Oryctolagus cuniculus: one gene and its partners. The protein of the gene in region 6 purifies or fractionates together with the protein of the main gene of each other region. This does not show direct contact. Links are inferred from orthologs where the notes say so. Each region holds a gene or a part of one and is shown on either strand. Other genes may lie near its edges. The genes, in order: TROAP, RYBP, HIPK2, ZNF503, FAM53C, DCAF7 and CSNK2B.

The links.
Region 1: the proteins of DCAF7 (region 6) and TROAP purify together in Homo sapiens (affinity purification with mass spectrometry; 3 studies listed by BioGRID and IntAct, counting the BioPlex papers as one, with this or other methods). This does not show direct contact. The link is inferred for Oryctolagus cuniculus from reciprocal best matches to the Homo sapiens genes DCAF7 and TROAP.
Region 2: the proteins of DCAF7 (region 6) and RYBP purify together in Homo sapiens (affinity purification with mass spectrometry; 3 studies listed by BioGRID and IntAct, counting the BioPlex papers as one, with this or other methods). This does not show direct contact. The link is inferred for Oryctolagus cuniculus from reciprocal best matches to the Homo sapiens genes DCAF7 and YAF2.
Region 3: the proteins of DCAF7 (region 6) and HIPK2 purify together in Homo sapiens (affinity purification with western blotting; 3 studies listed by BioGRID and IntAct, with this or other methods). This does not show direct contact. The link is inferred for Oryctolagus cuniculus from reciprocal best matches to the Homo sapiens genes DCAF7 and HIPK2.
Region 4: the proteins of DCAF7 (region 6) and ZNF503 purify together in Homo sapiens (affinity purification with mass spectrometry; 4 studies listed by BioGRID and IntAct, counting the BioPlex papers as one, with this or other methods). This does not show direct contact. The link is inferred for Oryctolagus cuniculus from reciprocal best matches to the Homo sapiens genes DCAF7 and ZNF503.
Region 5: the proteins of DCAF7 (region 6) and FAM53C purify together in Homo sapiens (affinity purification with mass spectrometry; 3 studies listed by BioGRID and IntAct, counting the BioPlex papers as one, with this or other methods). This does not show direct contact. The link is inferred for Oryctolagus cuniculus from reciprocal best matches to the Homo sapiens genes DCAF7 and FAM53C.
Region 7: the proteins of DCAF7 (region 6) and CSNK2B purify together in Homo sapiens (affinity purification with mass spectrometry; 4 studies listed by BioGRID and IntAct, with this or other methods). This does not show direct contact. The link is inferred for Oryctolagus cuniculus from reciprocal best matches to the Homo sapiens genes DCAF7 and CSNK2B.

What each region holds. Positions count from the first base shown.
Region 1 is NC_091442.1:52,742,683-52,746,182, forward strand, and holds part of TROAP (tastin), read left to right. Parts: 5' UTR 1-22; intron 23-300; 5' UTR 301-318; coding exon 319-462; intron 463-563; coding exon 564-756; intron 757-974; coding exon 975-1,132; intron 1,133-1,220; coding exon 1,221-1,358; intron 1,359-1,518; coding exon 1,519-1,601; intron 1,602-2,077; coding exon 2,078-2,130; intron 2,131-3,126; coding exon 3,127-3,248; intron 3,249-3,500. UniProt on the Homo sapiens protein: Could be involved with bystin and trophinin in a cell adhesion molecule complex that mediates an initial attachment of the blastocyst to uterine epithelial cells at the time of the embryo implantation.
Region 2 is NC_091441.1:76,787,019-76,791,081, reverse strand, and holds the start of RYBP (RING1 and YY1-binding protein), read right to left. Parts: upstream 2,801-4,063; 5' UTR 2,786-2,800; coding exon 2,586-2,785; intron 2,083-2,585; coding exon 1,957-2,082; intron 1-1,956. UniProt on the Homo sapiens protein: Binds to MYC and inhibits MYC-mediated transactivation. Also binds to MYCN and enhances MYCN-dependent transcriptional activation. Increases calpain 2-mediated proteolysis of YY1 in vitro.
Region 3 is NC_091434.1:184,334,268-184,337,767, forward strand, and holds part of HIPK2 (homeodomain-interacting protein kinase 2), read left to right. Parts: intron 1-1,004; coding exon 1,005-2,088; intron 2,089-3,500.
Region 4 is NC_091446.1:66,425,254-66,429,452, forward strand, and holds the start of ZNF503 (zinc finger protein 503), read right to left. Parts: upstream 2,801-4,199; 5' UTR 2,428-2,800; coding exon 2,122-2,427; intron 1,403-2,121; coding exon 1-1,402. Other genes in the region: translation initiation factor IF-2, read left to right, coding at 2,885-3,454, 3,779-4,199. UniProt on the Homo sapiens protein: May function as a transcriptional repressor.
Region 5 is NC_091437.1:26,138,827-26,142,326, reverse strand, and holds part of FAM53C (protein FAM53C), read right to left. Parts: intron 3,207-3,500; 5' UTR 3,053-3,206; coding exon 2,975-3,052; intron 2,583-2,974; coding exon 2,525-2,582; intron 659-2,524; exon of another isoform or gene 576-658; coding exon of another isoform or gene 527-575; intron 1-526.
Region 6 is NC_091448.1:15,152,663-15,156,938, reverse strand, and holds the start of DCAF7 (DDB1- and CUL4-associated factor 7), read left to right. Parts: upstream 1-1,476; 5' UTR 1,477-1,727; coding exon 1,728-1,865; intron 1,866-4,276. UniProt on the Homo sapiens protein: Involved in craniofacial development. Acts upstream of the EDN1 pathway and is required for formation of the upper jaw equivalent, the palatoquadrate. The activity required for EDN1 pathway function differs between the first and second arches.
Region 7 is NC_091436.1:138,947,093-138,951,023, reverse strand, and holds the start of CSNK2B (casein kinase II subunit beta), read left to right. Parts: upstream 1-1,131; 5' UTR 1,132-1,150; coding exon 1,151-1,222; intron 1,223-2,287; coding exon 2,288-2,390; intron 2,391-2,950; coding exon 2,951-3,066; intron 3,067-3,473; coding exon 3,474-3,549; intron 3,550-3,693; coding exon 3,694-3,883; intron 3,884-3,931. UniProt on the Homo sapiens protein: Regulatory subunit of casein kinase II/CK2.

The DNA of each region.
Region 1 (3,500 bases), on a different chromosome or scaffold from region 6:
GGAGCCGGGAATCAGGGAAAAGGTGAAAAGTGGTGGTGGGGGGACCCTGACGGGTCCCGGCAAGGGGCGGCACGGGGATCTTGAAGGGAATGAGGGCTGTGGGGGTTCACAGGGAGGAGAGCAGGTCCGGGTTCAGGGACTAAAGAGTAAGGTTCGACATGTCTGGGGGTGGCACCCAGAGGAGCGGCCTTGCTTCTGGGCGCCTGGGTTTGGGTGGGGGTGGAAGTTATTAGGGAAGTCAGGACCGGTGCCCTGAGCACTGGTTGACCTTTGACCCCGACTCTGCCTGCCTTCTTCCAGCCTCACGTTGTAGCCACCATGAGCACCCTCCAGGCCGCCAAGGAAACCTTCCCCCGGGGTGTGTCTCCCACCCCTAGCAAGATTCCCGTGCGCTCTCAGCGACGCCCACCTTTCCCTACCGTCAGATCGTGCGCCCCGGACCAAGAGAACCAAGATCCGAGGGTAAGAGGGGTCCTGGTGGGTGACGATGACTGACAGGGAGGCGGCGCACACCTGCAGTGCACCCCAACGCTTCTTGTCCCCTCTTCTCCCCCCGCCCCCAGGGATTGGTGCAAAGGCCTCCGCTCGGTATTCAAGGCCCCCTTGTTGATGCGGCAGGCTCCAAGTTGAAGGGCACGCAGCCGACAGAGAGATCACAAGGATCGGAGGGGGTCTCTCCCTTCTGGATCACCTTGGAGGAGCTCAGGCCTAACTCTGGGAGAGAAAACGTGGGGCCTGGACCCCCTCCCCGGACAGGTACCTATTGGAATCCTGGGAACACGGCCTCCCTGGCTGAGTGGAGGAATGGGAAGGGCACAGTGGGGCTTGGGGGCTTTCTTAAAGTTCTGAGCTGAGTTCCATGGAATGAATCGCTTCTGCTCACTCCTACAGCACAAGATGACTACCCAGGGTCCCTGGTCCCCCAGCCTTCCCCCTGCCTCTTCCCCCTCACATTTCATTCTCTTCCCTTGCAGAGGCTCCGGGAGCCATAGAGTTTGTGGCTGACCCCGTAGCCCTGGCCACCATCCTATCAGGTGAGGGAGTGAAGAGTTATTGTCTGGGGCGCCAGTCCAGTCTGGCTCAGAGAGTACTGATTCGAGGGAACCAGGGAATCTCTACCCGGAGGGGCCAGGTAATGAGACCGGATGTGAGGAGATGAGGTTGGGGTGGGCCAAGGAGAGATCCGAGCCTGTGCTGAGAGCCTCTGTTGGGGCTCCCAGGGTGCTCGGGCCTCTGCATATTTGGCTCCCAGAACCCCCATCCAGCAACTAGACCCCGCCAGGGCTTCCTGTTTCTCAAGGTTGGAGGGACCAGGACCCCGAGGCCGGAGTGAGCATCCCCAGAGGCTAGAGGCTACGGTGAGTGCCCTTGAGAAGCAGATGTGAGAGCTGGGCTTGGGAGAGGCACTGACTCAGGGTGAGCCAATGGGCCCTGAGGGAGGAGCCAGGCTGGGGAGTGGGGCTTGAAGGTTTGGGCCCACCTGTGACCTGGCTTCCATCTCCTGCTCCTACGCAATAGATTCCACCTGCAGGAAGCTCCTTGCACTCCTCTGCCCGCCCCCGTTTCCAGGAGCTAAGAAGAGGGACAGGTGGCAGCAGCCGGTGAGAAGGAGAGTGTGTTTGGAGAAGAATGAACCCCTGTCCTGGAGAGGGGTCCTGCAGAGCTCAGGCCTTCCAGGAGCTCTCAGAGCACCCTCTGCAGGTGCTGGGGGGAAGCCTGTGGTTGCCCAGGGGAGTCTTTGGAATAGGGGGTTGGCTTGCTATGACGTGTCCTTGGGATATGAGAGGGGAAGAAGAGACAGAAGTGTAAGTTGCTGACTGGCTTAGCGGCCAGAGCACAGACAGTGGCAACCGATGGCATTTGGGTTTAATTCCTGACTCTCACTCACTCAGCCCTGCAAGCTTGCCTTAGGCTCTCTGAGCATTGGTTTTGGTGTTTACCAAGCGAGGATAGTGTTTGTGGCGATACTGGAAGTTGCTGTCAGAATGAAATGCTGTGATGTGTGTAAAGCACTTAGCAATGGCCAGGTCGCACTTGCTACTCAGTGCCTCCTGGCTGCTGTCCTTGTTGTCATCAGGACTACAGTGAGCCAGGCCTCGGGATTGCTCCTGGAGACCCCAGTCCAGCCTGGTGAGTGTGTCTGGCTATGGGGGAGAGACCAGGGGCAGGTGGGCTGCCGGCAGTGGGAAGGAGAGAGGAGAAAGCTCAGCAGGTTGTGAGAGGGCGGGGTCGGGGGGACACCCCTGAGGAGTGGGGAGATGAGAGGCTAGGAAGAAACTAGCAGTTGGCCTATTGCACTTGCGTCAAAGGAGATAGTCCTGGCTTCTGCCCTTTCCCTTCCATTTTGCAAGATTTGCCTTTACTCAGTGTCCAATCCCAGTCCCTAAGAGCCATCACCACACCCTCAGCCCCCTCGGGGTGTTCAGATAAATAAGGCTTTACTGAGATAGTGTTGGCCTCTGTATGAGTCCTTGCTGTATTAATGTAGAAGGGGGTATTAAGCGGTTTATGTTCAGGGTAAGTGTTTGGTATAGCACTGCAGGATACCCAGATCTCAAACTGGAGTGCAAGAGACAGAGGGAAAATCTTCTATCCATTGGTTCACTCCCAAAATGGCCACAGTCTCCAGAACTGGGCCAGGCCAAACTCAGGAGCCAAGAACTCCATCCACGTCTCCTATATGGATGGCAGGGGCCCAAGTACTTGGGCCAGCACCCACTACCTTCCTAAGCGCATTAGCAGGAAGCCAGATCAGAAGCACAAAGCAGCCAAGACTCAAACCGTGGCTCCGATCTGATCCAACTTCCTGCTAATGGTCCCCTAGGAGGTAGCAGGTGACGGTGACGGCTCAAGTATTTGGGTCCCTGCCACCTCTGTGGGAGACCTGGATTGTATTCTCTGCTCCTGGCTTCAGCCTGGCCCTGCCCCAGCTACTACAGACACTTGGAGAGTGAACCAGTAGGTGGAAGGTCTATCTGTCTATCTCTTTGTCTGTGTGCCTTCCAAACACAGAAGAAAAAAATTTTAAAATCCAACTAGTTTACCCTCTTCAAAGGTTGCCAAAACCCTGTGCCAGTCTTTGGAGGGCTTTTTAGGTACTGCAGCCAATTTCCTGCCTTCTCCCAGCTTCCTCTCTCCCTGAGGGAGAGCAGGAGGTTGTCTCTCACTCAGATGAAGGAGGAGGGGGCCCTCTTGGTCTGGCTCAGCGAATACCACTAAGAGAAATCCAAGAGATCACACACACCAAGGTGAGGTGGGACCCTCTTGGAACAGTAGGTGCAGGTAGAGGAGTGGCCTGGGGGATCCTGTAGCAGTCAGCACTGAGGATTGTGGGTAGAACCTGGCATTCGGGGCCTTGGGGTGTTATTGGGTCAGGGTTTGCCCCAGATGGACCCCAGCCCTCACCAGAGTGGGGCTGACCTCTCTTTTCCAGGTGTCTGGGGCCTGGGGGTGAGAGGTTACAGATAGGGATATACTCGAATCACCATCAGATCAGTGCC
Region 2 (4,063 bases), on a different chromosome or scaffold from region 6:
ATATATGTACTGGCAGTAACCAAAATGAAACCAATTTGGTCAGGTGAGAGTATTATAAATATAAGTCCTCAGATCTGTGTTCAAATCCTACCCAATAACAGACATCAAAGTTACACAACAACTCTTGAAGATAGTAAGTTAGGTGGATTATCCTATTCGTGAACCCTCCAAAATATTCTTCTTAAAAATCTAATGGTTTAATAATGTTAATTTACTGTCATCTGTGGCTCCGAAAGAAGTTTAAGCATATATGTTATTTTTAAAGTCAAAGCCTTCCCCATGTTTCCAAAAAGTTGATGAGTCAGGTTTTTTAAAAATACATGTAGAAACTGAAACGCATTTCGTTACAATTATTCCCAGCATTAAATCAGATATGAACTCTTGGAATTCGGTTTAAGTTTCTCTTCATCAATAAGGTTTTCAAGTTCTTCTGAGTTTCCTAGTCATTTACTTGAACATCATCTACAGTAACACTCAAAGCAAAACCACAATAAAGAGGTTTGGCCTCTGAGGGATTCTACACGTAAAAAAAAAAAAAAAAAAAACATTACTCATAGATGCTACACAATCATCATTGCTTTAAATAACAAATACATTTCTAAACTTTCATGCCATTCGATGGAATTCCCACTTTTGAAGACAGCAAAACAAAACCTACAAAGCCACGAACACAAAAATTTGACATGCGTTTACTTTAAAAACTACTTATGGGGGAAATATTTGTAGTTCTTGGGTATTTTTATTCAAAGGTCCCATTATTTAGAGTTAGTGGAATTCACAGAACTCTTCTACCAGTAATGAGAGCAATTAATCTCAGAGTTACATTCCTTCAGGTTGCCCAATATCCTATTTAATACCAGATATAAATGAAGCAACGAAACCTTAACAGGATACATTCATTTCGCCAAGAGAACAATGTTCAGCTGGACATGCAGGGTACTACTACACAGTCACAGAGGAATGCCACCAATTCAAGCCCAGAAGACCTGTGGAAGGAGACTAGGAGACTCAAAGAAATCAATTCTTAGTCCCCAAGAACTTCTATTCACCAAGCACTCACTCTCACTCTCGCACCTTCAATGTCAGTCCATCAAATGCGACCAACAGTTTAACTTCAACTCTAACACTACTGAAACAAATTCCAGATAGAAGTTAAAAGATGACCAACAGACCACAAAGCCAGTCTTGACATTCTCTCCAAGTGTATCTAAATGTCCAATCTAAAGTTGCTGAACTCGTTTTGATAACACCTGCAGTTTACCACCTCATCGAAATGGAAAGGAATTCTTTCAACATTCTTTATTATAATGAAGGTTTAAACACAGACTTCAACAGTCACTCTTCACCATTCTGCAAAATCGGTGTAAGCTCATCAAAAACAAATAAACAGTCTCAAAACAACCACCACCACGGGGGGAAAAAAACTGAACAGCTCAGCCAAAAAAAAAGAAAAAAATGCACTTTCCTTATCAAACCCCAACAGTCATTTTCAAGTGCAAGAAAGTAACAGACATTTGCAGCTCCCTACCAGAAAAGCTCAATCAGCCTTATTGTACTACCACCACCACCAAACTGCTCAGAGAAAAATAACTTAGGGCAAGCAAAGCAAAGCCACTCCGCACATGGCAAAAATAAATAAAAAGGTTCCTGTCCCAAATCCGCAGCCATGGTGCCGCTCTCTCCTCTCCTTCCAAGCCAATGGACACAAGTGTCAAATAGATGCAGGCTGTGTGAAGTTAAGCTGGGAAAAACTCCCTCCCATAAATCATTCGGGCAACACGAGGCAATGCACCCACACGAAATACACGGAACCCACACCACCGCATCAGCCACCCCCAAAGGCAACGAAGGCCGCAATCAACAAGTTGGAAAGAGGGCAGCAAAGTCCGGCTCAGGACCCTGTCCCCGCACCGCGGGCCGAGTCCGTCAACAAAGGTAACACAGAGCGGCAGGTACCTGGTGGAGGTGCCTTTCCTCACGTCGCAGATGCTGCATTTGAAGGCTTCAGCGCTGTTTCGGAAGGTGCAGACGCTACAATCCCAAAAGCCCTCATCGGCGGCAGGTTTCGCTTGTCTTTTCGGCCTTCGGAGGAGTCGGGAGCCGGGGGAAGGGGAGGGAAGAGACCGAGAGCAGGGAAAAAGAGGGAGAGACAGCAAAAACACAGGCGCTGTGAGCCGCCGTAATTTCGCAGGAATCCGGCGCTGGAAACTTCGCCCGCGCGACCACCCACCCACCCCCCTTCCCGGGAACTGGAAGGGCGAGCGAGTGAGCGAGCGAGCGAGCAGGCTGGCGGGCACGGGAACCGGGCGGGCACGGGAACCGGGCGCCCCCGCCGGCCGCGGCGGCCGCGGGCCGGGCCGGATCGCCTCGCGCTCGCCAGGCGGCGGCGGCGCCCCGGGAAGGGCCGCGGCGGGCGCAGGAAGCGGGCGGACTTGTGGACCCGAGCGCGGGGCTGGGGGGGCCGCGAGGGGAGCCGCGGGCCGGATCTGGAGGGGGCGCGCAGGGGCAGCCCGAGGCCGGCGGCGGGGAGTGGGCCGGCTCCTTCCCGCTCCCCTCCCCTGCTCGCGCCCTCCCTCCCTCCCCACCTGGTTAAATCTCCCTTTGTCTGGGAGGAGCGGCGGCGGCGGCGGCGGCGGCGGCGGCGGCGGCGGCTGAGGAGGGCGGCTGAGGAGGAGCCGCCATGGCTGCGGCGCGCACGGCCGCCGGCCCCGGGCAGGAGCGACACCGCCTCCCGCCGCCGCCGCCCGCCGCTGCCGCCGCCGCCTCCCCGCCCCCGGATCTCCATCTTAGCAGCGCCTCCCCCCGCCCGGTGGCTCCGGGGCCTAGTCGTCGCCGGCCCCCGCCCGCCCCCAGCCCGCCCTCCCCTTCCGCCCCTCGGCTCCGAGCAGGTACCTGGTCGGGCTCTTCTTGTCGCCCATGGTCATGGATGGGCTGTACCCCCGCCCCCCCCAAGCCGAAACCCGCGCCGCTCGGAGGAGAAACGCCGTCCGGGGAGTCGTCGCGGAACGGCCCCCCTCCCTCCCCCGCGCCCGCCCTCCCTCAGCCGCTGGGGCTCGAGCTCCGGCCGCTGCCGCCGCCGCCGCCGCCGCCGCCAGTCTCCGGACGAGACTAGTCCCCGCCAGCGCCGCCTCCGCCGAGTGACTGACGAGGGGCGGGGCCGGGCGCCGCGCGTCACGCGCCTGGCGGCCAATGGCAGGGCGGCGGCCGGGGCCGCGAGGGCGGGGGCGGGGCGCGGGGGAGGGCGGGGCGTGGCGGACGTGGGCCGGGCCGTCGGTGTGCGTGCCCGGGAGTGTGTGCGCGCTGGGGGCGCGCGTGCCTGCCGCTGGCCCCGCGGCCCGGCGCGGCGGAGCGTGCGAGCTCGGCGGGGCGCACGTGGCCGCGCCCGGGCGCCGGCAACGGGCTTCGGGGCCCCGCGCGGCCGCCCGGTGCGGCTGTCGCGCGGCCCTGGGCCCCGCAGCCGCTCCGGGGAAGTAGTTCCAGGCAGTTTGCGCGCGCGGTGGGGGTTGGCCACAGCCGCGCCGCCCGCAGCGCCTCGAGGCTTGCTGCGCCCCGGGAGACCGCGGGGCTTCGCTGAGCCCGCGGGCCCCCCCTGCGCCCTTGTGTTCCTCTGCCACGCGGAGCTTTGTAGCTGCCTCTCCGGGAGTCCCTGCCCCCCCCCCCACGCCGAGACGCTAGCCCGCAGCCCTCCGGGGCCCCCGCTGCGGGAGGGAACTCTGCAGAAAGGGTGTGGCGTAATTCACTGCCCGGGGCTGGCCGCGGAGCTCTGACTTCTCGGACCCCCGGGCGCCTAAATAAGGCGTTTCCCTAGGGAAGTTGCTATTGAAATCGTGGCGACCTCAGGCCAGCCTTCTAACCTTGTGTCTCCAAAATGAGGCTAATAACCCTTCTCCTTAGAGACAGATGCGTGGAAAGCGCGCAGTGAGATCCTGGCACTTGGGCAGGCACTGGGTAGGGAGCGGGTATGGCTAGGCCCTGGCTGTGCTTCCCCGCGCTGGGAGATGTTTGAAGAACAGGTAGTACCCATCAGTTTCTGCCCCACTTCCAAGAATGCTTGCCAAATTGA
Region 3 (3,500 bases), on a different chromosome or scaffold from region 6:
GGGTTTTTATGTTTCCGGTATCGCCGTGATTATAAATTGTACAACTCTTCCCAAGCAATCATCTTACAAATTTCTGAAGTTAGCTAAATTGTGGGCAAAGTGCTAATATGAAATAGTAGTACTTTCTAGAAAAATTTATCGATGTAAGAATTTAGCATGGAAAATGAGTGAATCGAGTCCATAATCTGTGCTTCCCACTCCCCGGCGAAGAGGCTGATAATCATGTTTTAGTCAATCTAAATGAAAATGTCAGACTCTTTTATTTATAATTTTTCTTTTTTTAAACTTGAGAGGCAGAGAGAGAGAAAGGAAGCTCCAGTCTGATGGTTCACTCCCCAGATGCCTGGAACCATCAGGGCTGGGCCAGGCCAAACCCGGGAGCCAGGAACTCAGGTCAGGTCCCTTACGTGGGTGGGCCAGAACCACCGCCCCCTGGGGGGTGCACCAACAGGGAGCTGAAGTTGGAAGCTGCAGGTGGGTGTTGAACCCAGGTTGGGGACGCGGGCGTCAACTGCTAAGCTGGACAGTTGCTCTGGGAACAACTGTGATAGAGCCCTGCAGAATTTGGTTAAGACGGCTCAGATGCCAGGCAGCACTTGTTCAGCCAGAAGACCAGAGGAGCCCCCCACGGGGCCACCTGACCGCTGGGGCCTGTTGACAGAACTGAGCTGGCTGACCACATGGAGTAGCTAAGCTTGTAACAGTTAACCAGGGGCCACCTGATAGCAGTTTCTTTCACAAACACTATTGATATTTAAAAAGATGAGTGGAGTCCCTGTTCTCATTCTGTGTTCCAAGCCTCCTTCCCCCTGCTGGTGGCAGGGTGACCCACACACTGAGTAACAGGTCCGCTTCTGAGTGCAGTAGATTCCTGTTCCCGGCCTTATTTTGAAGTGGGAGGGAAATGCTGTTGACTCCAGGCCATCTCAGAGCTGCAGCGGATCTCTGGGGTTTATTCATGCAGAGGTGGCTCAGAATTTATTTCTCCTCTTCTCTCCTCACAGGTATGGCCTCACATGTGCAAGTTTTCTCCCCTCACACCCTCCAATCAAGTGCCTTCTGTAGTGTGAAGAAACTCAAAGTAGAGCCGAGTTCCAGCTGGGACATGACTGGGTACGGCTCCCACAGCAGAGTGTACAGCCAGAGCAAGAACACAGCACCTTCTCAGCCAGCCACCACAACCGTCAGCACCTCCTTGCCAATCCCAAACCCCAGCCTACCTTACGAGCAGACCATCATCTTCCCAGGAAGCACCGGGCACATAGTGGTCACGTCCGCAAGCAGCACGTCTGTCCCTGGGCCCGTCCTCGGCGGACCACATAACCTGATGCGGCGCAGCACCGTCAGCCTCCTTGACACCTACCAGAAATGCGGACTCAAGCGTAAGAGCGAGGAGATCGAGAACACGAGCAGCGTGCAGATCATCGAAGAGCATCCACCCATGATTCAGAATAATGCCAGCGGGGCCACGGTCGCCACTGCCACCACGTCCACTGCCACCTCCAAGAACAGCGGCTCCAACAGCGAGGGTGACTACCAGCTGGTCCAGCATGAAGTGCTGTGCTCCATGACCAACACTTACGAGGTGTTGGAGTTCCTGGGCCGAGGGACGTTCGGGCAAGTGGTCAAGTGCTGGAAGCGGGGCACCAATGAAATCGTAGCCATCAAGATCCTCAAGAACCACCCGTCCTATGCCCGACAGGGCCAGATTGAAGTGAGCATCCTGGCCCGGCTGAGCACAGAGAGTGCCGACGACTACAACTTCGTGCGGGCCTACGAGTGCTTCCAGCACAAGAATCACACCTGCTTGGTCTTCGAGATGCTGGAGCAGAACCTCTATGACTTTCTGAAGCAGAACAAGTTCAGCCCCTTGCCCCTGAAATACATCCGCCCGGTCCTCCAGCAGGTAGCCACGGCCCTGATGAAGCTCAAGAGCCTCGGGCTCATCCACGCTGACCTCAAACCGGAGAACATCATGCTGGTGGATCCGTCCAGGCAGCCGTACAGGGTGAAGGTCATCGACTTTGGGTCAGCCAGTCACGTGTCCAAGGCCGTGTGCTCCACCTACCTGCAGTCCCGGTATTACAGGTAAGACCGCACCAAGATGACAGGGGCCGTGAGGGGCCCGGTGGTGGCCGTCACCCAGGGCGAGATAGGAGCGCGTGTGAACAGTTGCTGCCCGCCAGTGATCTTAATGCAGCTGGGAAATTATGGTCCTATTGGCGCACATTGACATGACGGTGAGGAGCCAGGTAAGAGCAGAGCCAAGGAGGAGGCTTAGTCTAGTTGTTCAGAGCTGGAAGGGATCCGTGGGAGCTGGAATGAAGGTCCAGACAAGGTGGAGGAACTGGGTCCTCACGGTGGAGAAGAGGGCGGGCCGTGCTGTCCAAAATCCTGCCGTAGGAATGTGCGAGACAGGTCAGCCACCTGCCGGCAGAGTTCTGAGGGAGGTGTGGTTGCGAGCCAGCACAGAGTGGGACCAGGTTGCTGGGGGTCTTGAGTAGCAGGCTAAAGCTTGGCAACTGTGTCCTGAGATTTGAACAGCCAAAGGTGAAGGCTGGGAAGGCTGCTCCTCTCACCTCCCGTGTGGAGGAGGCTGAGGAAGAGAGAAGTCAGGGAGCCGGCTGCTCACTCCTGTGGTGAGCAAGCCTCGGGTCTGGGCGAGGGGAGAATTGTGGAGCCTCTGGGAAGTGTGAATTAGGCAACCATTCCTCCGTACAGTCAGTCATTCAACAAGCATTTACTTCCAACCCGGCGCCGTGCTAAGTGCAGGGTCGTGGACGAGGCACTCACCGTCCTGGAGTCTCCTGCATACTGATTCTCAGCCCTGGCTGCACCTGCAAGACTCCTGGGGCGCTTCCAAAGTGCCCTCCGCAGACAGAACCCACGGGCCGGCTGAATGACCTCTACCAGCTTTCCTGGGCCCCAGGGCCAGTCAGGCTGAGAGCTGCTCTCTGCTGCCTTCCGAGTCAGGAGGACCCAGGGTTGGACCTGATTCCTCCGCTCAAAAGCTGTGTGGCTTGGGCCAGTTGCCTCATTTCCCTAGACATTCATCTCCTAACCCATGACCTGGGAGAAGCCGGCCTCTGCGCTTGCTGGGCTGATCGCTCGCCGTGGTTAACACATCGTAGGTGCTGCAAGCAGCAGCCAGCCCGAGAGGGGCACAGGGAGGAGCTGGCTGAAGACAGAGAGAGAGGTGGTTTGGGGCAATAGTGATGGGTTGTCCTTGAGGGCGCAGGGACCAGGCAAGTGGTAAGAAATGACAGACTCCTGCGAGAAGACAGCCCGATGACATGGAAGAGGTCCCTAAGACTGCTGCCTGAGACCCTCTGCCCGGGGGCTTCAAGGCCATGGAGAAAAAGCTGGAGAATGTGCTACAGCTGCGTCGACACAGCTGATCCTCACCCATTCCTGGCCCCCTGACTGCCCACAGCGCTGTCGCAAGTCTCCTCCCAGCTTCCCCCGCCTGCTGGGAAGAGCAGTGGTCACATGGCAGGAGC
Region 4 (4,199 bases), on a different chromosome or scaffold from region 6:
CCGCGGCGGCGCTGGCCAGGGACGACGAGCTGGGGTAGCCCGACAACAGTTTGTCTGTCCCGGGGAAGGCCGTGTGGGTCCGCAAGTGGCTCAGCAGCTCTTCCGATGTGGCGAAGCGCTTGTCGCACGGCCCGTTGGCCGACACCCAGTTGCAGATGTGCGGGAGCGGGTCGTTGGGCAGCATGAAGCCATAGGGGTAGAGGGGGTGGCCGGCCAGTGAGGGTGGTGTGGCGCCCGCGGCAGCGGCGGCCGTTAGCGAGGAGTGCACACCGTGCAGCGGGTGCGTGGGGTACACCAGCGGGTATCCGGACTTGAGCGCCGCGGCCGCCGCCGCAGGGTCGTGTGCGCACGAGGCGCTGGCGGCTGCCGCCCCGGCCAGGTGGCTGGCGCAGTGGTAGCTGAGGCAGTACGGGTCCCGGCACAAGCTGGCTGTCATCACGGACGGCGGCGACGCTCCAGCCAACGGGCTTGAGCCAGCCGGCTTGCTGCAGCCCAGCGAGCCGGCCGCGGCCGCCGCCAGCTGTGCGCCCACCAGGCTGCCGGGCTTGGTGGGGTCGAGCGCCACGCCGTGAGGCAGGAACTGAGGCGGGTAGCCGGCATAGGCCCCGGCCAGGCTGCCCGGGTAGGTCATGCCAGCAGGAGGCAGAGGAAACACTGTCTGGCCCGGCTTGTAGGGCGACACTGGCGCCACCAGCCCAGAGCCCAGCACCGAGGAGGAGGCGGGCGCACCGGGGCCGGAGCCTGAGCCGGAGCCCGACGAGCCGCTGCAGTCCGCGCCCAGGGCCTTGGCCCCGGGACCGCCGTCTGCGTGCTGGTTCACGTCCACGTTAACCCCGCCGCCGCAGCTAATCCGGCCGTGCGCCAGCCCCGCGGGTCCCCCTTCGGCCGCTGCGCCCCCAGCGCCCTTGCCGCCGCCGCCGCCACTCGCGTCCGGGTCTTTCTTGTCGTCTTTGCCATCCGGACCGCCCCCGGCCGAGGGCAACAAGCCTCCCGGCGAGCAGGCCGAGGCGCTGGAGCTCGGGCTGCCTGTCCTGGGCGTGAACGGCTGGCAGGTGGCGCTCGGGACCCGGAATCCCGACTTCTCCGCCGAAGTGCCCCCGCCGCCGCCGCCGCCGCCACCACCACCACCACCCCCGCCGCCGCCGCCGCCTCCCGGCTCCTTCTTATCCGAGCCGGGTTTGGAGTACGGTTTGAAACTCGACTTGTCTTCCACGCCGATGTCACTCAGCTTGAGGGGGCCCGACTTGGCGTCCTTGTCGCCGCCGGCGCCGCCGCCAGCACCGCCCGCGCCGCCCCCGTTGGAGGCGACCGAGGAGAGTTTGGACGAGGGCGAGGGGTCGGGCTTCCCAATCTGCGAGCAGGTTTGCGCCAGCAGCGCCAGCGGGCTCTTCTTGGCATCCAGCTGCAGAGTCAGACGGGGAACGGATCACACGGAGAAAGAAGGGGGAAACCTTTAGAATCCTGGCCTCTGGGGTCCAGCCCCCCCCCCCATGCTGCCCGCGCAGATTCCCCCCAGCGACGAGGTGCGGAGCCGGGCGGCACCCCCACACCCACCAACATCCTTGCCCTAGGGACAGGCGGCGGACTCCCACCTCCGGGCAGAAGCTGTCCTGCCCTCTCCTGATGCGAATTGGGTTTTCAAAAAACACTCGCATAAGGTTTCGGGGTGAAAGGCTGGACCCAGGACGATACCCCTCTGCGCGCGCACCTTTGGATTCCTCAGAGCGAGGGCACGGGCGGCTGGAGCCTCGGAGGCTGTGCACGCGCCAGCTCCAGAGGACCCTGGCGCGGCTACTCTGCCACCGGATTCCAGACGCCCGCCGGCCAGCAGCGCAGAGGGTAGGGGCCTGGGTCGCGGTCGGGTCTTTCACACCGAAAGCAGCAGCAAGTTTTGGCCGCCCTGTCCCCTAGCCTTCGCCTGGAACCCAGGGTCCCGCCTCCTGCTCCTTTTCCGCCCCAGTTTGGAGGCGCAGAAGCGCCGTCTTCCCCTCTCCCCGGAGCTGAATCACCACGGACCCCACCCCCACCCTCAGGTCCCGAGAAAGGAAACCCTGCAGGGCGGCAGCCTGGGGAGTGGTCCCCCCCCGCGACCGGAGAGGGTGGGGGTGGGGGGTTCCTTACCTCGATGGGGCTGACGGGCGTGGAGGGCAGGGGCTGCAGGTACTCAGGGTGCAAAATGTGGCCAGTCCTTGCCGTCAGCATCTTCAGCACCTTGATGGGCAGGCGGTTAGCCTGGCGCAGAGGGTCGGAAGGGGGCACGGCGTGCACAAAAGGCTTGGTGGGGCCGGCCGGGGACGAGCCTGGGCCGGGGCCGGAGCTATTTCCAGAGAGCGCGCTGGTCCAGGCAGGGTCTGCGCCTCCGCCGCCGCCGCCGCCGCCGCTGGGCTTACTGCTTCTTAGGGCAGAAAGCGAGGGCGCTGTGCTCATGACCCACCCGCGCGCATGGGAGCAGCGGGGGGAGGGCCCGGGGCTGCGCGCTCGCCCGGGGATCAGGAACCGCAGCCGCAGGAGGAGCCGGCGCGCCGGGCGCCACGAGCCACGGGTCCCGGGCGGCCCACCGCGGAGCCGGCTGGGCTGCGGGTCCGCCTCGGGCTGCGCCCCTGCGCCGGCGCTGCGCTCAGCGATGTGAGCCGCTGCCTGTCCAGCCGGGGCTCTGGCGAGGAAACTCACTTCAAAAGCAGCTGCACCGAGGGGGAGATTAAAGCCTTTGCCGCCTTCCAATCAAATGGGAGCCCGAGGTGATTGGAGGGTCAAGGGGATGTGACGCGTCCCGCGCCGCCGCCGCCGCCGCCGCCAGGACTCTCCGAGCTGGTTTTAATGGGCAGCTCCCTCTTCGCCGCCCTCCTCTGCGTGTCCCCTCCCTCGTTTTCACTCCGAGGACGAGATGGACGTGTATTCTACGTTTGCCATCTGCCGCCTCCCTCTTTTTTTTTTGCCCTCCTCGTCGTCTGTCCTTTCCTCGGCTCGGAAAATTAACCGAAACCTTCTCTTGGAAGCAAGCAGCGGCGATGAGGACCAGTCTGCGGGCGTAGCCAGGAAGGGATCCGGCAGGCGTGTGGACACCAGCCAGATCGTCGGCGCCCGGCGGCGCGCACGGGGCCCGCACACCTGGTGGAACCGAGATCGCGCGCGGCGCGGCCACCCGGGGAAGGAGCCCGGGCGCGAGCGAGTTCGCCCGCCCGCTCTGGTTTCCCGAGACTCGGCGGTGGAGAAACCAGAAGTCACTCAGGCCGCGGAAGCGGTGGCTGCTCATCCCAGCGACGGGCGCCCGGCTCCCCGCCCTCCGCAGCCACGTGACACCCAGGGACCCGCCGATTGGGGCAGGGGCGAGGTCACGTGCTTCCTCTGTTTCACACTCAGTCTGTCCCCCCGCCCCCATTCTTACTCTCCCCTGCCGCCCTCCCCCCGCCCCGCGCCTTCTCTGGGCATCTCCACCCCTCCATCAATTGTCAATGTGCCTCGACCGCAATCAATCAGTTATTTGTCAGCTCTTGTCAATCCGCCCGTGATTTATGTCAGCTTTTGTTGCTGATTACAAGGCGGGTGCGACTTGCAGGGAAAAAGAGGGAGAAGAGAGAGAGAGAGGAAGGAAGAGACCGGGAGGGGACTGGAGGAGGGGGCGAGAGGAGCGGCCTCTAGGGATTGGGGTGGGGGCTGAGAAAAGAAAAAGAGGGGCCCGCCGGGGTGGGGAAGGCGAGGAGTGGAGTGCGCAGGTGCGCCCGGGGCGCCAGGAGGGCGCGCGACACCTCTCCCGGTGGTGGGGGACCCTCGCACCTAGGGGGCTTGGGCCCTAGAGTTTGTAGGGGGCGGGCTGGGCACCGGCGGCGTCTCGCACGGGACAGTTCCCGCCCCGCGTGGGGCGGTGAGGCTGCGGCTGCGTCGCTCGCCCCGCAGTGCCCCGGCGCCCCCTCCCAGACTTCTTTCCACGCCATCAACAAATCCTCGGGGCCTGGGGGTGGGGGTGGCTGGAAGAGCGGGTCCCCCCAACTCTTCGGGCCCCCGGGAATCGTGGCCAGGGTTGCGAGGCTGCGGAGAGGAGGCCCGGCCGCGGGTGCGTGGGCGAGGCTCGTGTCAGGTTCACTCGTGCCCCCCGCCGCAACCGCCTGCCCGCGCATCCCGCGCCCTGCGCCCTCCCGGCGTGCCAGGAGACCGGTTTCCTCGGAGCTCCTCGCTCCAAGGTGTGGGAACGCCGAGCCGGC
Region 5 (3,500 bases), on a different chromosome or scaffold from region 6:
ACGCTGCCCCTTGCTCCCGGCCCCAGCCCTGGCTTCTGAAAAGCAGCCCTATGCTCTCCTTCGTTGACCTTTCCCTTCTCATGTGTCAACAGCACCAAACATGAGTTAGGGCTGCCAGGAAGTAAGAGGTAATCAAGCAGGTAAGAGATCACTTTTATTCCTAAGGAGGGCAAACAAGGTAGGGGAGGCCTCTGACAGTGGAACCGGGGCTTGGGAGGCCTTAATACTTCATGTTGTTCACACTCCTTTCTGTCTGGCCAGCCACATACTCTGGTTCCCTTTTCCTAGGCCTTCTCTCATATCCAAATGGATGGAGGGACCAAGGGGAGAAGGGGATATGACGAAAGATATGATTCTAACTTACTGCATTCCAACCAAAATGGTGACTTTTGTCATATAGCTCATTAAGGGACAAACAGCCTGCTCCAAAGTCCCCTGGCTAGCTGGCTAGAATTCTGCATGGGCTGGATATTTGGAGCAAACAACAAGTTTATATACTCAGACTTGATCATGGCAAAACTCGTACCTGATTCTACTTGGTCAACAGTTCTTCCCCCTAACTGGTGGCCCAACATCTGGCTCTCAGCTCGTATTTAATAAATAGGAGGAAGAGACTGCATGAAGATCCTTTTGCCAACCAACTCCCTTTGCCAGGTATCTAAGAAAAGGCAACAAGATGTAGAACAGCCCAGCAGCACAGGTTAGAAAGTTCTGGTTGTCTACTAGTGATGCCTTTATCTAAATATTCTCACAATCAGAGACCCTTTGATTATCTCATAACTAGGAATTTGTACCTCAGATAGATGCTCACATGTTAAAAATGACCTATGCCGCCGCGGCTCAATAGGCTAATCCTCCACCTAGCGGCACAGGCACACCGGATTCTAGTCCTGGTCGGGGCGCCAGATTCTGTCCCGGTTGCCCCTCTTCCAGGCCAGCTCTCTGCTGTGGCCCGGGAAGGCAGTGGAGGATGGCCCAAGTGCTAGGGCCCTGCACCCCATGGGAGACCAGGAGAAGCACCTGGCTCCTGCCTTCAGATCAGCGCGGTACGCCGGCCGCAGTGCGCCAGCTGTGGCGGCCATTGGAGGGTGAACCAACGGCAAAAAGGAAGACCTTTCTCTCTGTCTCTCTCTCTCACTATCCACTCTGCCTGTCAAAAAAAAAAAAAAAAAAAAAAGATTAAAAAAAAAATGACCTATGCATGAGTTCTGTGTGTCATACCAAAAGATGGTAAATAACCTAAAGGTACATCAATAGGAGGCTGGTTAAATTATGGTATATCCAGGCAAGGTAATTATATGCAGTTACATAAAACAAGGAACTGTTCAGCACACTGACAGACTCCTGGGTATATTGTAGTGAAGACAAAAACAACAACAAAAAAACCAGATTGCTATATAGTATGCAACCCTTTGCATAGAAAAAAAGTGGTGATAAGTATACATACTTTTATTAACTTGTATTTGTATAAGGGAATTCCAGGGATGGGTGTTTGGTGCAGTAGTTACACTGCTGCTTGGGGTGCCCATATCCCATAACAGAGTACCTGGTTTGAGTCCTGGGTCCTTTGCTTCCAATCCAACTTCCTGTTAATACACACCCTGGGAGGCAGCAGGTGATGGCTCAGATACCTGAGTGCCTGCGACCCACATGGGAGATCTGGATTGGGTTTAGGGCTCCTGCCTATTGTGGGCATCTGGGGACTAAATCAGCATATGGAACTTCTCACTGTCTCTGTCTCTGTCTCTCTGCCTTTCAAATAAAATGAAAATAAATAACTTACAAATTATATCAGATTTTTAAAAGAATCTATTTAGTAAGGCAGAAAGAGAGAGACAGACAGATACAGAAAGATCTTCCAACCACTGGCTTACTTCCCAAATGGCCACAGCAGCCAGGGCTGAGGCAAGCTGAGGCCAGGAGCCAGGAACTTAATCCAGGTCTCCACCTGAATGGCAAGGACCCAAGAACTTGAGCTATCACCTGCTGCCTCTCAGGGTGCACATTAGAAGGCAGAGCCAGGACTTGAACCAGGCACTCTGATACAAGATGTGGGTATTCCAGTGTGGCTGCACCACCCACCCACCCCTAAGTAGATAAATTAAAAAAAATTCTAACAAAAAGAAAAATTCTAGTGGAATATACAAGAAACTAGTAATAGGAATCTCTTTTAGGGAGGTGGCAGGAGCTGAGTGGGTAGGGGATAGCAGAGGGAGGAAGGGAGACTTTCCTCAGAATACCTTTTCTGTTATTTTTAAATCTACAAACCATGTGAATATACAAGCTAGCCAAAAAAATTGATTATAACAGTCCCCACAAGGCTAGAATCAAAGCAAACTGAATAGGTAAACCTTATGCTGGGTCAGTAAAATGGAGACAAGTGCCAATCTCAGAAGGTGACCCTGAAACAAAGTTCTAGAGGTAGGCTAGGTAACCCTGGTCACTGGAAACCAATGAAAGAAATGTGTGCACAGAGGCGTGAGCAAGCAAACACACACACACACACACACACACAGTGCCTTACCAGACACAAGCTGGAAAGGGTTCCCACAGTTGGAGATGTCTGCATGATCAGGCAAAGGCTGAGAGAGAGAGAACATGGATCATGACGCGGGTTCAGAACACACTGAGTCTAGGAAGCCCTCTTCAGTTCTCCCCTGCGATAATCGGGCTAGCAGAATGTTAGGGACTCCTAAGTGTGTTCTTCCTCTCGTCTTCCCAAAGTTAGTGAGTAAAATAATTCACATCCATCAACACCTCAAACCCTTCTCCACCCATGTTTGGGGTCCCTTCTCTAGTGGTGGAAAAATCCCTGCCCCCTTCCTTTTGAGCTGGGTTTTGAGCCCTTGGTGGGCTCTTCCAGTACAAACACCATGATTCATACAACACAGGACGAGGGTAAAGTAATAGCAACAAACAGCCTCAGAAAAAAGGGGGAGGGGGTCGTGGAGAAGCAGGAAGACTGGTCTTTTACCAGACTGATGCTGAAGCGTGTGCATTTCAGCTCATCCAGAGTCTGCTTCTGTAGCTGCTCAGTGATCAGGGTTATCATGATTCTCCCCAGGATCTGACTTGCACACTTTGGAGCAAATGATGGATGTCTTCCCTGTTGTTCTTCCAGAGACCTCACTCGTGAGCCGTCTTCTGCCACTGCAGCACCATTCTAGCACCATTGGGACTTCCCTCGCCAGTCATGCCTGCTGAGTCTGCCAATTACAGAGGGACCAGCCCCAAGCGATATTAGAGATGTACCTGGTCCAGAGATGGAAAACGCATGGCACACATACCACAGCACCCCTTACGCCAGGCCTCTGGCAGACATCTTTAACTGGTCACAGCTCTTTCCTGTTAAGCCTAAACACAGCCTCAGAAACATTCTGAACTTAGCACTCCAGCTATCCAGTCAAGTAAACTGGAGTTGATGAGCAAGTTGAAACCTATTTGCACTCCTAACCTGGTTCAAGCGCTGCTGCTTCTCCTAGAGTTCCAGTGCCACTTAA
Region 6 (4,276 bases):
AAAGGACATAATTTCAGCGCAGGCAGTCTGGCGTGAGAGTTTGTGCAGTTAACCATTCTGCTGAAGGGGCTGTTATCTCCAGGATACCAACTCACTGACCTTCAGTCTCGGTACTTTGTGCTCCAGAACTCTCTAAAAGAATTCTGGGAAATTTATCTCTCCTCCATTTTTAAGTGGACATCTGAAATATTTCATTGATAAGTTTAAATAGTTGCAAAGGAATCAATGTCCAGTGCATTATAAATATTGACACTATATAGAATTTTTTCATCTCATGTATATTTATCCATATTTATCCAGGTAACATAGATTTTAGAGCCATCATCATCCACTTTAAAAACATAAGAACAGGTTTTCATAAGTCTAATTATCCCTTCCACTCTAGTTTTAACCTACATGTAATTTATTTTGATGCTTAAAAAATTTTGATAACCCTATCATGTTTGCAACACACGTATATTAAACTGAAATTTTAAAAAGAATTGTAACTTTAATAAGGCACTGTAAGTAGTATTAAGTGGGGCCAGCATAAAGGCCCCACCTGCGGAGGCAGCATCCCATATAGGCATGGGTCATGTCCTGCTGCTTCAGTTCCAGTCTAGCTCCCTGCTAATGTGCCAGAGAAGGCAGCGGAAGATGGTCCAGGTGTTTGGGAGACCATACGAAGCTCCCAGCTGGCTTCCACCTGGCCCAGCGCTGGCCCTTGGGGCCATCTGGGGCCTGAACCAGCCAAGAGAAGATCTGTCTCTTCTCTCTAACTCTGCCTTTCATACAAATAAATCAACCTTTAAAAAATAAAAATTAAGAGCAAGGCTGGTGGGCTCGGTGCCCAATAAAGACCAACCCAAGACATGGGAACATTTCTAGAATCTGCAGGAAGGCGCTGTAAGGCCTGACTCAAGCTGGCTTGGCCCTGCGCACACCTGCTGCGTGTCTGAGGCCTGCCCTTGGAGCACTGGAAGCACAACTCTCCCGCTAAAAAGGCTTTGAGGGATAAGTGCGGCGGGCCAAGAGGTCAGGCCTTGGACTCAGTACTGTAAAATGCGGTAGTCCTCCATTAAGACAGAATTTAAATTTTACTCAACAGCCTAGGGAGGCCGCTCAGTCTAGCAGCAGCAACGGTGAAGTCAGGGCAGGTCGCACAGAGGTTTCACTCTCAGCCACTTGGCCTAGAACTTGCAGGTCGCCTCTGGGCCACCCACGCCCCTATTCACCCGCACTGCGCCGTTATCTGGGTGACTGACATCTTGGCTAGCCAATGACCTTCGGGACTGCGAAAGCGCCTGCCTCCAGGAATTGGGCGGGGCAACTACTTGGAATGATAAATACTTGCACCAATAGCGAGGAGATTTCAGACGCCGCGGTCGTAATAACCAATGAGGAGAAGGAACCATTTCGAAAGGACGTGTCAAGCAGCCAACGGCCGACGCCGCTCCAGGGGGAGCGGGTGGGGGGCGGTCGCGTGGCTTCCGTTCCGAGGAGGCGGGGCGACATCCCAAACGGAAGGTGGTTGTTGTCGGTGCCGAAGCTTGTTTGAAACTGGGGGTCGGGCCCTGTTGTCGTTGTTTGTCGCCGCGGCCCCGCTTCCGGGCTAGGCAGTTCCTGCCCGCCCCCGCCCCGCCTCCCTTGAGACCCCTCCGTCCCAGGCCCGGCTCCCCGCCCGAATCCGCGCCCCGCTCTTCACTCCCCGCTGCAGCCCCGGCCCGCAGTGCGGCCCCGCCGCCACCATGTCCCTGCACGGCAAACGGAAGGAGATCTACAAGTATGAAGCGCCCTGGACCGTCTACGCCATGAACTGGAGTGTGCGGCCAGACAAGCGCTTTCGCCTGGCGCTGGGCAGCTTCGTGGAGGAGTACAACAACAAGGTGGGCCGGGCAGGGGCTCGGAGCCCAGCCGGCGGGGAGCGGGCCCCGGGTCTGGCCCTGTGCTGGCGGTTCCGCTCTCGTGGTCCCACGTAATCCTGCGTGGTCGGGAGCGTGGAGGGGAGACGGAGGCAGCGCGTGTGACTTTCCCGAGGCAGACGGGTATTTCGTGGTGGTAACAGGTCTCAGAGCCGAGCTGACGTTCTGGAGCTGCGCCAGGTGTCCGCTCCCAGGCCCTCCACTCCTGCCGCATTGCCTCGGCTGGGAGGCGGGGAGGGAACAGGGAGCGATGAGGCTCCCCAAGTGGTGGTCGCGGCGTCCCTGGCTTGCTGAGGGTTTCCCCGCCCCCTAGTCGCACTCGGCGCGTCCCTTGGATCTGCATCCCTGCTGCCTGGTTTCCAAGGCCTTCGCTGTGGCCTCCCGCGACCTGCCCTCTCCGAAACAACCTGTTTGTTTCTGGACATCTTGGCCTGCAGCATCATCCCGCCATTGTTTTCTTGGCTTCTTATGTGCTAATAGTCCTGCCGTTTGTAACCTCAGGTAGCGGAGCTGACCGGACGACCACCAGTTTGAGAATCCTTCATGGAAACTCTGTTGCTAGGGGATGCTTCTGCACCTGCAGTGCAGCAGCGTGCATTTATTTTTGAGAGTAATTAGCTAAGTCAGTGGGAGGAGTTTTCTTCTGTATCTTGTTTTTCTTGTGTTGGAGCAACAGTTGTGAATAACCGTGAACAGAGCACCTGTAAGGTTCAGCTGGTGGTGTTTAGAGGCTTTCCTGTTCCTCCATGCATATCAGATTGAAGAATAAAGCTGTGGCCGTTGGCAGGCCTGGTGCAGGGGAAGAAAGGATTGAGTTCCGTCTGGTTCACCCACTGGCTTTGAGGCGTCACACCCCCGGTCATTTCTGACCCACAGTTTGCTATAGGAAAGGGGTGCTGCTTTACACATGAAGATCTGTAAAAAATAAAATCTGAGCTTTTAAAAAAAGATTTATTTATTTCCTTACTTGAAAGGCAGTTACAGAGAGAGGGTGAGATAGAGATCTTCCACTGACTGGTTCATTCCCCAAACGCTTGCCAACAGCCAAGGCTGGGCCAGACGGAAGCCTCCACCCAGATCTTGCACATAGGTGACAGGGACCCAAGGACTTGGGCCATCGTCTGCTCCTTCTCAGGTGCAATAGCAGGGACCTAGATCTGAAGCAGAGTAGCTGGCATGGGAACTGGACTCCGCTGCGTGCCACTGCACCGCAGCACCTGCCCCACAGCATTCGAACATCTTCAGTGTTCACAGTTTTTCAGGAGCACATTTGTTTCTCTCTGCAGTAGGTCTTAACTTCTTTAGGATCCCCTTTGGGAAACTGACGCGAGCCACGGGCTTGCATTGCCAGACATACTCATACACGATTTACAAACAAATCCTAGTGAGTATGCACTGATCTTTTAAATTTACCACTGACTGTGCAAGACGTAGCTTTAAAAAATTTTATTTATTGGAAAGGCAGAATTTCAGAGAGAGGGAAAGACAGAGGAGAGGGAGAGCTTCCATCAGCGGTTGGTTCACTCCTCAAATGGCTACAACAGCTGGGGCTGGGCCAAGTGGAAGCTGGAGGCCTGGAACCCCATCTGGGTCTCCCACAGGGTGTCGGGGGCCCAAGTACTTGGGCCATCTTGTGCTGCTTTCCTGGGTGCATTAGCAGAGAACTGGGTCAGAAGTGGGACTTGAACGCCGGCGCCGCAGCTCACTAGGCTAATCCTCCGCCTTGCGGCGCCGGCACACCGGGTTCTAGTCCCGGTCGGGGCGCCGGATTCTGTCCCGGTTGCCCCTCTTCCAGGCCAGCTCTCTGCTGTGGCCAGGGAGTGCAGTGGAGGATGGCCCAAGTGCTTGGGCCCTGCACCCCATGGGAGACCAGGAGAAGCACCTGGCTCCTGCCATCGGATCAGTGCAGTGCACCGGCCGCGGCGGCCATTGGAGGGTGAACCAATGGCAAAGGAAGACCTTTCTCTCTGTCTCTCTCTCTCTCTCTCACTGTCCACTCTGTCAAAAAAAAAAAAAAAAAAGTGGGACTTGAACAGGTATTTATACTGGATGCCAACATCACAGGCATTGGCTTAACCTGCTGTACACAGCGCCGGCTGCAAGACACAGCTTTGTTTCTTTTCCTCTGGTGCCTCTTTCTCCCCTGTGGCTTGTAGAGAAGGCAAAACAGCAAGTGGAGTTCAAGGTCCTGATGTCGACATCATATTAGTAAAATTAAGACCACAAGAACTACTCTTTCAAAATACACATGAAAAAATAAAAAGTAAGATACGTCTTTCAAACAACTTGAATCCACATAAAGTGATGTAATTTTGCAAGTTCTTTCAGGGTCAGTGGGCAAGCTGTGGCTCTCATTTCTGAGAGAGACAGACTGA
Region 7 (3,931 bases), on a different chromosome or scaffold from region 6:
GGGGCTCTCCTGTGCAAGGCCGTGCCCGACTTGATAAGAACTAGGAGGGTTGGCCAGGGCTCACTGAGGGTCCCCGAGGGCAACGTCTGCGACCCGACTCGCCTCGCTTCTTCCCCCGCCCCCTCTTGGCCCCTCAGTCCAGTGAGCATACGACTCTATTTCCCAGGCTCCTGGCCCCGAACGCCTTACTTGGCTTCCGCTTCCGGTGGCGCCTCGCTGTGCCCCGCCCCCGAGCCGCGTCCTCGGGGGCCTCGCGACACGAGGGTCGTGAGTGAGCTGTCCTGGGATTCGTAGTTCGCTTTTCCCTCGCTTCGCCGGTCTCTCGCCCTAGCGGACTCCATCTCCCAGCGTCCACCGCGGCTCTCGCCCCTCGGCGCTTGCGCGTTGCCCTCTTCCCCACCCTCCCCGATTTCCACTCCCCCCACCCGACTTCGCCTGCCGCGGTCGGGTCCGCGGCCTTCGCTGTAGCGGTCGCCGTCGTTCTTTGGAAGCAGCTGTTCCCCTCCCCCACCCCGGTCCCGCTCCCCGTCCAGCTGGTGAGTGTGAAGTGGTTGCCCCGCGGAGTTCCCGGTCCCTAGGAGCGGCACATGGGGTCTCCCCGCCTTGAGGTGGGGGCGAGGAAGGAAGTGACCCGGTCCGTAACCGTGGGAGGGAAGGGTGGCCGGAGAGCGGGAGGCAGGCTGTGGGGACTCCGTGAAAGAGTACCTGGCGGTGCCCGCCCCTCGCCCCGGGTCGTGAGAAAAGGAGGTGTCGGTCGTTGCTTGGCAAAGATAAACTTCTAATTCTTGGGGAAGGGTGCCGGAGCCCTGCGGTGGTAGGGAGCCCGAGCCGAGGACTCTGCCAGAGTTGACACAGGCGAGAGGGGTCTGGCCATCGGGGGCGCGGGGGATGTAGGTAGGGACTGCTGGGTCGGTACTTGTGGGCTCCTGCCAAGGAATTTCTAAGTTCATTCAGAGAAAAGGGGCCGAGGTGTAAATAACAAGAGCTAGAGAAGCCTGTCCCAAAGGCTGGGATCCTTTAAAAAAAAAAAAAAAAAAAAGGGTGGCCCCAAATTCTTCCATGGCTGAAAGACAGAGTGTGGGAGGAGGGAAGGTGCCAGAGCCGGGGAGGGAGAGCTTGGACTTGACTCCTGTTTCCAGCTGACGTGAAGATGAGCAGCTCGGAGGAAGTGTCCTGGATTTCCTGGTTTTGTGGGCTCCGTGGCAATGAATTCTTCTGTGAAGTGAGTGCTTTTCGTTCTTCCTACTCGCTGGTTCCATGCGTTCAGGTTGGGTATCTTCAGCTTTTGCACACTTTATCCCGTGGAAACTCCTTCCCGTGAAAGAAGGGGTCCCCTCAGTAACCCCCCACTAATCAGCGGCGATGTGGCAAGACTGGGGCCCAAGTCCCATTTCTGTCACACACCCCACCGCACCCCCAGGAGGATAACATTGAACTAGTCAGACCATCTTTTTTTTTTCTTTTTCTTTTTTAATTTTTTTATTGTACTTAAAGTATCTGAAGGTAGAGCAACAGAGAAAGTGAAGGATCTTCTGTCTACTGGTTTATGTCCCAAATTTCTACAACAGCTACTGCTACCAGCCAGGCTGAAGTAAAGATCCCAAAACTTACCTGGGTTTCCCATGTGGGTGGCAGGGACTCAAGTACTTGTGCCATCACCCTGCTACCTTCCAGGGTGTGTGTTAGCAAGAAGCTGGAATTGGAAGTGGAGTTGGGACTTGAACCTGAGCATTCCAGTTTGGGATGTGGGTTATCTCTAACCATGTAGGAACCACCGTGCCAAGTGTCCTTTCTCCTTTGCTTTTTCATTACTAGAATGCTACTGGTAGTGCTTATCTCTGGGGGCTGTTAGGAGAATTGGAATACTGCACCTTAAAATGTTCTGTAACATGCAAAGCTCTGTGTTGACATAAGGAATTCTAACCACCTTCAGAAACCAAGCTGTTCAGCCTCCACCTTCCTCAGAGAGCAGCTGTTCCCTCAGGAGAGGACAGAACTGGTTCCTAGAGATGAGGAACAGGACTAGAGACGCGGGAGTCGAGTGTGTCTCTAAGGAGACTGCTGTGCTTGCTTGTCCTTGGAGGAGAGAAGCTGGAGCTTTCACGGGGGGGAGGGCGTGCGTGTGAACTCGGGACAGCGGCTGAAGTACTGACGCTGAGTTGGAGTAGGAAACAGGCAGACCAGACGCAGCCGTGTGGCCGACAAGGCGTTCGTTAGGTGACCTTGGCCAGCTCAGAAGCTGGGGGTCCCAGTAGGAGTTTTCCTCTTGACCTCCGTGTTCTACCAGGTGGATGAAGACTACATCCAGGACAAATTTAACCTTACCGGCCTCAATGAGCAGGTGCCTCACTATCGACAAGCTCTAGACATGATCTTGGACCTGGAACCTGGTGAGACACCCTCAAGGTTCATGGTGGGGGGGCTGTTTTTCTCTTCAAATTACCTCTTGAATTTACCTCTTGAATTTCTAAACTTCCTTTTGGTTCTCTGACACCCTTAACCTCAAAGTCCCAGCAGCATTTTTGCCCCCCTCCTTGAATTCTTGCCTAGTTTTGTGACTGATAGCACTTGCTGCCATACTTTCTGAATTTGTAGCTCAGCGCTCCTCCTTATGCGAGTTTCCTCGCGGGTCTTGTTTACTGCCTCTTTGCCTGCCTTGCACCCTCCAGTCTAGAGTTCCACCTTCTGTGTTGACATCTTTGTATTTACGTACTAAGGAAGGAGTTGGGAGGGAGAGAAGAGAGCAGAGGCTGAAGAGGTGTGGAGAGAAGGCTGGGCTTCCTTGGGTTGGTGGAAGGGGCAGAGACCCAGGTTAAATGCCCACGTGAGGACTGGGTGAAGCTCAAGGATGGGTGCTGGGCAAACTGGGCAGCCAACAGCCCTGGGGGTGGGCGGGGCACCTGGGAAAGCTGGAACGCCAGTGGTTGCATGTGGCTGGCCCATATTTCAGACGAAGAGCTGGAAGACAACCCCAACCAGAGCGACCTGATTGAGCAGGCGGCCGAGATGCTTTACGGATTGATCCATGCCCGCTACATCCTCACCAACCGAGGCATCGCCCAGATGGTGAGGCCTCTCTGCGCCTGCGTGACTCCTTGTGAGGCAGTAAGGGAAACAGGTTCCTACAGTGAGCAGTAATCTGGCAGCCCTGTCAAGGAGTCGAGCTGAGATGAGAAAAACCCAGAGTTTGGGCCGGGAAACTGAGTCCTCCCTGGACGTCCTGCTGAGGGGGTGTCTTCAGGGAGGGCGATGTGAGCTTGGTCAGAGTTGTGGACTGCTTCTTCCTCAGAGAACAGACGGCAAATGGCCCTGGATGTCATTAGCCTCCCTAACTGGGGGGAAAGTTGGTGGGCCCCTTTGATCTGCACAAGGACCTCCAAGAAGAGGGAGGAAATGTGGAGGACAGAGTTATGTGGGGGTCGCTGCTTATCCTCATACCCACCCACCAATCCCTTCCATTTTTTTCCCTTCAGTTGGAAAAGTACCAGCAGGGAGACTTTGGCTACTGTCCCCGTGTATACTGTGAGAACCAGCCAATGCTTCCTATCGGTGAGTATTGAAGAAGGGAGAGGGGGCACCATCTGGCAGTCCTCTGGGAAGGAGTTGGGCTCAGCAAGGCGGGAGCTGAGTTCTGGGGCAGGGGACTCGGCAGTGTCGCGGGTGCCTGGCCTGCTGAGTCTGGCTGTCTCCCAGGCCTGTCGGACATCCCAGGTGAGGCCATGGTGAAGCTCTACTGCCCCAAGTGCATGGACGTGTACACACCCAAGTCATCGAGGCACCATCACACGGATGGTGCCTACTTCGGCACTGGTTTCCCTCACATGCTCTTCATGGTGCATCCCGAGTACCGGCCCAAGCGACCCGCCAACCAGTTTGTGCCCAGGTGGGGAGCAGACAGAGTCACCATGTGTCAAAGGAAAGACTCAGAATC